2 linked regions of the Pelodiscus sinensis genome follow. The protein of the gene in region 2 purifies or fractionates together with the protein of the main gene of each other region. This does not show direct contact. Links are inferred from orthologs where the notes say so. Each region holds a gene or a part of one and is shown on either strand. Other genes may lie near its edges.

Region 1 (3,747 bases), on a different chromosome or scaffold from region 2:
TCTTGCCGTGGGCCCGGCTCGCTGGGTGGGGGATCCAGGCAGGGGGGGGGTGGATCTAGCTGGGGGGCTGGCCAGTGCCGTGGGCCCGGCTCGCTGGGTGGGGGATCCAGGCAGTTGGGGGGGGGGTGTGGATCTAGCTGGGGGGCTGGCCGGTGCCATGGGCCTGGCTCACTGGGGGGGGGATCCAGGCAGACAGCTGGGGGGTGGATCTAGCTGGGGGTCTGGCTGGTGCCGTGGGCCCGGCTTGCTGGGTGGGGGATCCAGGCGGGGGGGGGGTGGATCTAGCTGGGGGGCTAGCCAGTGTCATGGGCCCGGCTCGCTGGGTGGGGGATCCAGGCAGTTGGGGGGGGGTGTGGATCTAGCTGGGGGGCTGGCCGGTGCCGTGGGCCCGGCTCGCTGGGTGGGGGATCCAGGCAGACAGCTGGGGGGTGGATCTAGCCGGGGGGCTGGCCGGTGCCATGGGCCCAGCTCGCTGGGTGGGGGATCCAGGCAGTTGGGGGGGGTGTGGATCTAGCCGGGGGGCTGGCTGGTGCCGTGGGCCCGGCTTGCTGGGTGGGGGATCCAGGCAGTTGGGGGGGGGTGTGGATCTAGCCGGGGGGCTGGCCGGTGCCGTGGGCCCGGCTCGCTGGGTGGGGGATCCAGGCAGACAGCTGGGGGGTGGATCTAGCCGGGGGGCTGGCCGATGCCGTGGGCCCGGCTCGCTGGGTGGGGGATCCAGGCGTGGGGGGTGGATCTAGCTGGGGGGCTAGCCAGTGTCATGGGCCCGGCTCGCTGGGTGGGGGATCCAGGCAGACAGCTGGGGGGTGGATCTAGCCGGGGGGCTGGCCGGTGCCATGGGCCCGGCTCGCTGGGTGGGGGATCCTGGCAGACAGCCGGCGGGTTTAGCTAGGGCCGGGTCTCAGCTGGTGGGGGATGTGGGGGGACGGGTCCTGGGCGAGGCCCGGGGTGAACGTGAGTCCGAGGGGCACCGCGCTGCCCGTGTCCCTTATGGCCAAGCGACAGAAATAACCCCCCCGGAGCCGAGGGGCAGGCCGGGGGATGTTTCTTGCAAGGAGCTGGTGGCCGTTGAGTGACACCTCGGTGTGCAGCCGCCTGAGCTGCTCTCCGAAGTCACCTCGCAGCCTTCCTCCGGCTGCCTCAAGTCAGCAAAAATACCTCCCTGTGCAGAATGCCATATGTGTGCCGGCGCCTGCCGTGATGTCAGGGGAGCTGCCCAATGGGAGCACAGGGACGGGGCCCGGGAGTCTGCCCTGCGGGCGCCCTCATAAGGACCAGGGCCGGCCCCGGCCCCACCGAGGCAGTGTGTAGCGGGCCGGGTCGGGCGGGCTCCCTGTGGGATACAGGCGGCCAGGAGGGCCATGCGCTGCTGAGAGCCAGGGGCACGAGGCGGGAGGCGCTGAGACAGCGACTGAGCAGGGAGGCCGAGCCAGAGGGACGGGGCGCACAGCGCGGGTGGGGCAGCCATGGAGAACGCCCACGCAAAGACCGTGGAGGAGTGCCTGGCCTACTTCGGCGTGAGCGAGCACAGCGGCCTGACGCCTGAGCAAGTGAAGAAGAACCTGGACAAATACGGCCCCAATGGTACGTGCGGGCAGCACCCCAGCCGCGAGGGGAATGAGACGGGGCCGGTGGAGAGGGAGGCTGGGGAGCCAGAAAGAGGCAGGTGCAGGGCGGAACTGGCCCAGGTGTCCGCGGAGGCTGGACACACTGTGGCAGGATGGAATGGAAGACACAGAGAGGCTGGGGAGCCAGAAAGAGGCAGGTGCAGGGCGGAACTGGCCCAGGTGTCCGCGGAGGCTGGACACACTGTGGCAGGGATGGAATGGAAGACACAGAGAGGCTGGCAGAAGCCGCCGGGCCTTGGGAAGGACGGAGAGAGAGAGGAGAGCCAGGTGCCAGGCAGGACTCAGCAGGGCTCCTGGAGCTGTCTACTGCAGCCCGAGGAGCCATGTGTAGACTAGGAGAGCCGCACATGGATGAGTGAAGCTTCATATAGGCCCAGGTAGCTTTGTATGTACTGGGGGCCTGCATATAGGCCCAGAGAGCTGCGTATAGACCAGGGGACGCATATCCCCAGAGAGATGCATATAGACCAGGAGCTGTGTATAGACCAAAGGAGCCATGTATAGGATGGGGGAGCCGTGTATGGACCAAGAGAGCCACTTTTAGGCCTGGGTAACCACATATAGACCAGAGGAACAGCCTCTAGGCCAGGGAAGTTGCATGTATACCAGGGAGCTACATATCACAGCCCATGGAGCCTCTTCTGGACCAAGGGAGCGGCATGTAGACCAGGGGAGCAGCGTATATCAGCCTGGGTGCTGCTCATAGACCAGAGGAGCTGTGTGTAGGCCGGGAGTGGCGTATAGACCCGGGGAGCAGCGTATCTCAGCCTGGGTGCTGCATATAGACCAGTGGAGCGGCGTATAGACCCGGGGAGCGGTGTATCTCAGCCTGGGTGCTGCATATAGACCAGAAGATCCGTGTGTAGACCAGCAGAGCGGCATGTAGACCTGGGGAGCAACGTATCTCAGCCTGGGGTGTTGCATATAGACCAGTGGAGCGGCGTATAGACCCGTGGAGCGGCGTATCTCAGCCTGGGTGCTGCATATAGACCAGTGGAGCGGTGTATAGACCAGGGAAGCAGCGTATATCAGCCTGGGGTGCTGCATATAGACCAGTGGAGCGGCGTATAGACCCGGGGAGCGGCGTATCTCAGCCTGGGTGCTGCATATAGACCAGTGAGCGGCGTATAGACCAGGGGAGCGGCGTATCTCAGCCTGGGTGCTGCATATAGACCAGGGGAGTCGTGTGTAGGCCGGGGGAGCAGTGTATAGACCAGGGGAGCAGCGTATATCAGCCTGGGGTGCTGCATATAGACCAGTGGAGCGGTGTATAGACCCGGAGAGCGGTGTATCTCAGCCTGGGTGCTGCATATAGACCAGTGAGCGGCATATAGACCCGGGGAGCGGTGTATCTCAGCTGGGTGTTGCATATAGACATGGGGAGCGGCGTATAGACCCGGGGAGCAACGTGTAGACCAGGGGAGTGGCGTATATCAGCCTGGGTGCTGCATATAGACCAGAGGAGCCGCGTGTAGGCCGGGGAGCGGCGTATAGACCAGGGGAGCGGCGTATAGACCAGGGGAGTGGCATATCTCAGCCTGAGTGCTGCGTATAGACCAGAGGAGCCATGTGTAGACCAGCAGAGCGGCGTGTAGACCTGGGCAGCGGCGTATCTCAGCCTGGGGTGCTGCGTATAGACCAGGGGAGCGGCGTATCTCAGCCTGGTGTGCTGCGTATAGACCAGGGGAGCCGTGTGTAGGCCGGGGGAGCGGCGTATAGACCAGGGGAGTGGCATATCTCAGCCTGGGTGCTGCGTGTAGGCCAGGGGAGCAGTGTATAGACCAGGGGAGCGGCGTATCTCAGCCTGGGGTGCTGCGTATACACCAGAGGAGCGGCGTATAGACCCGGGGAGCGGCGTATCTCAGCCTGGGGTGCTGCGTATAGACTAGGGAGCCATGTGTAGGCCGGGGGAGCGGCGTATAGACCAGGGGAGCGGCGTATCTCAGCTGGGGTGCTGCGTATAGACCAGGGGAGCCATGTGTAGGCCGGGGGAGCAGCGTATAGACCAGGGAGCGGCGTATCTCAGCCTGGGGTGCTGCATATACACCAGAGGAGCGGCGTATAGACCCGGGAGCAGCGTATCTCAGCCTGGGTGCTGCGTATAGACCAGGGGAGCGGCGTA
Region 2 (3,747 bases):
TAGAGATCTATGAAACACTCATTCATTTTCTTGTATGCAGTATTTTAAAACTGTCTTTAAATATTAATAAGGAATCAGACAAATTAAAAAAGCAGATAGTTACAGCTAACAGTAAATTAAATTTAATCTGTTAAATCTGTTTAAAACTTTTTTAATGTATATCACCAATACTTCTGTTGGTACTCAACACTCATGGACTTCTACAACATGGTTTATTACCTGTGCAGGGTTTTTTAAGATTATATATAGATGATGAGCCACATTCTAATCTAATTTATATCTGAATAATTCCATTAAAGCCTGTGGATTGATTTATATCATACAAGAATCTCACCGGTTATAGCCATGGATATATTTTATAAAGAGTTTAATACAGGTTGAACCCCTCTAATCAGGCACCCTTGGGACCTGCCTGGTGCTGAACCAGAGAATTTGTCGAACCACTGTGTGTCAGTAGTGTCTAGCACCATTATCAGCACTTCCACTGTTTACTGGGCTCTTAGAATACATTTAGGGGTACATTTAGAGCAAGCTAAATAACAACACAGAACACTGAGAGCCAGGACTAGTGGCTGTAAACAAATGTTATGGGATCGTGGGAAACTTATCTACACCTATGATAAGTGGATATCCAGCTAACTAAAATCATGCCAGACTATGGACCAGCAAATGCTGGACTAGAGAGGTTCAACCTATATTGGGGATTTTTAAGTGCTATAACTTTGTGTGTGTGTGTGTGTGTGTGTATATTATGCACACAGTATAATAACTCTAACTTTTTGTTCATTTCTTAACTATAATTACTGTAACAAACTTAGTATTAACAAATCCTATCTTTGTATGGAAAGGACAGAATATTTAGTTTTAATGAAAATATTGACAAGAAAATAAAATGCTGTTACCTAAATGTCCAAAGACAAATGCCTCTTGCAGGCAAAATTAGATGTATTACTGCTCCTTTCCGGAAACAACTCCTATAACAGAATTTCATAGTCTTCAACTAGTTGTATGCTGCAAGGTTCACCTTAAGAACATCAAAGCATTCCAGGAATAGAGTTCAAACAGTGCCCTGTTCAAATTAGCACATGGATGATGTGTCCAGATACAAATATCTTGATAGATTCTTGATGAATGCTTTGCACACAGCTCTCAATGGAATTGCATGCTGTCATTCCCACGAGTGTTTGGAGAATGTATGTCTAAATACGAAATACTTAGTAAAACCTAGTAAAACTGTGGTATTTATGGATTTTATCCTAAAATGTAAACATGCATGTATGTGGTATATATTGATAGAAATACAGGGCCATGTTTTGGAACAGATACAGATTTGGAACAGAGATGGGAATTCATTAAGACTGTGTGTTTTGCAATCTCCTGATTTCTAAAAATTGATATGTCTCTCATTTATGAAAATACTTGTCCCGTGCCCAGAGCCATGCAGCCATGGATTCTTGGATTTCTCAACAAAATAAATAAACACAAAAATAGAGGGGGGAAAAGCTTAAGTGACAAATGTTCCTGTTTACCAGACATTTCCTTTATTTTACTCATTTCCTTTTTAAAATTAATTACATATATTTTTGTTCTTCATGTCCTTTATAAAAAGGTCTTATTTTAAACAGCTAAAACTGTGTCATGTGGGGTATTGGTTTGTATAGTGCCCAACACTTTTATCAATGATGGATGAGAAGAATATTTTATTTATAAACATTACCTTTGATATTTGTGAAGCTGAGCTGCATTTTCTTGCTACATATTAATCTTTTGAGACATGTATTTAAATTAGATTAATGGATTCAGAAGTTAAGATATCATAAGAAAGGTCAAGTTCGGCTTTTACTGGCCACCAGAAAAAAAGAAGAAGTTTAAAAAAATTACAGAAGTAATACATAGTATTTTTGGATTAAAATTCAAATGCTGTAAAATGATGAAGGCTCAGCGTTTTAATCTTTCCTTATAATCAGAATAGGGTCTCTCTATTTAGTGTTAATTAAAAAAATTCTTCTCTTAAAATATGTTAAGTAAGTGAACCAACTTGTCTGATTTAAGAATAGGCAGGTTAACTTTCTTTATGCTGGATTTCTAGTGGCAATGAAACTAGAAGTAGAAACCCTAAAATCAAAGGATAGTAATGTAAACTCTTGAATTAAAACTTACTTTTTGATGAGAAAAAGAAAAATTCCATCTGAGTTTTAAAACAAACCAACCAAAAAAACCAGCCAACCAAAACCAGAATGTAGAGGTGTAGGGGAAATAATTAAGACCTCTGCTGTGGTGATGTTGTTTGCTTAATCAATTCACCAAGGAAAAACTTAGTTTCATATTAAAAATAAGTTGATAATTTAAAAAAACAAAACTACCAACCTTTTTTATCCCCATTGCACTATTTTGGTTTGGAACAGTAATGCCAAAAGTGCTGCAATTTTTTTAAAAAGCAGCTTGGGTTTTATTTTAAATAAGCATTTATAGCATAGGCTGTTAAGTTTGCACAGAACAGTTTATTTTTTAACTTACAATATAATTGTAATAAGAAGCGATCCCTTACCTCTGCTGATGATTATTAGTGAATTATAGGATATTGCACTCTGAGCTGTGGGAAACTTGGTCTGGACTTCTCTGGCAACTTGTCTGTCTGTCACAAAGTTTGTAGTAACAATTGAAGAAGGCGGAGGAAAAAATAATAAAAGCTTGAGGCAGGGCTCATGATGTCATGCAGGAATTAAAAAGTTGTGATTGGTTATCAGATGGCCTTTTAATACAGGGAAGTTGCTCATCTAAACTCATGATGACAGTAATGGTAGCACTCAAAAAATGTTTGTTGGGGCTCTTTTTATTGGCCACATTTTTAAAGAAAGTGTACAGAAGGAAAACAGTCTGCATGGGCATGAACCGAAGGGCATGGGCAGTGATATGATCTAGTGTTTGCAAACATGGGGATGAGCTTGCATGTCAATATGTAGTATTTTTAGTAACTTTTATATAAATTTGTGATTAATTAAGAATACACTAGAAATTTCTTCAAAATGGTAAATTTGCTACAATGAAAAAATATTTTCCTATGATAAAAAAACGCCACTATTTGGATATTTTGCTTCCATATAAATTATATCCTTTTTTTTCCTTATGGGTCTTGAAAGTATCTTCAAAAGCTCTGAACCATTTTCATGTGTTAAAAGGGATTTACTAAGCTGTGAGAGAGCTTTTAATATTGTTATACACTTGATCACTATTCTCTCTGTGTTATGTTCTCTAAAACTTTCCTTCCCCACCACAGAGAAACTGATGCATCTTAAGGTCTCCACTTCTACAAATTAGATGTGGGGCAGGGTTTCGCCCAGATAAAGAGGGATGCTTTTAGCTTTCCAGATAGTCTTAAAATAGTTACTTCTTTTGCCCTTTACCTCAAACCAAATTATATTGTGGTCAGATATGATCGTTCTTTGTAATAAAGCACAGATAATATATTTGGTACATTAGTAAACAAAGGAAGATGTGTTTCCTGCTCTGTAAATTGTGCAGCTTAAATAGAGAACACAAACCAGATAGAAAGTCATTTGCTGAGAGAATGGTTTTGCCTTGCAGCTTTTTTAAAATATATAGTGTTTGCATTAAAATACTTTTCTGCACTGTTTTGATGAGTTACTCTTAGACTTTACCCCTAGTTAAACGAAGCCAGGTCCTGTAAAACTGTTGCAATAACTTTTAACACAACCAGAGCTGGACGTATTTATCCTAATACAGTAA

What was found. The genes of interacting proteins can lie anywhere in the genome.
Region 1: the proteins of PLN (region 2) and ATP2A1 purify together in Homo sapiens (affinity purification with western blotting, with the first as the bait; 3 studies listed by BioGRID). This does not show direct contact. The link is inferred for Pelodiscus sinensis from reciprocal best matches to the Homo sapiens genes PLN and ATP2A1.

What each region holds. Positions count from the first base shown.
Region 1 is NW_027465819.1:226,343-230,089, reverse strand, and holds the start of ATP2A1 (sarcoplasmic/endoplasmic reticulum calcium ATPase 1), read left to right. Parts: upstream 1-1,280; 5' UTR 1,281-1,463; coding exon 1,464-1,581; intron 1,582-3,747. UniProt on the Homo sapiens protein: Key regulator of striated muscle performance by acting as the major Ca(2+) ATPase responsible for the reuptake of cytosolic Ca(2+) into the sarcoplasmic reticulum.
Region 2 is NC_134713.1:84,694,156-84,697,902, reverse strand, and holds the start of PLN (phospholamban), read right to left. Parts: upstream 2,693-3,747; 5' UTR 2,549-2,692; intron 975-2,548; 5' UTR 903-974; intron 1-902. UniProt on the Homo sapiens protein: Reversibly inhibits the activity of ATP2A2/SERCA2 in cardiac sarcoplasmic reticulum by decreasing the apparent affinity of the ATPase for Ca(2+).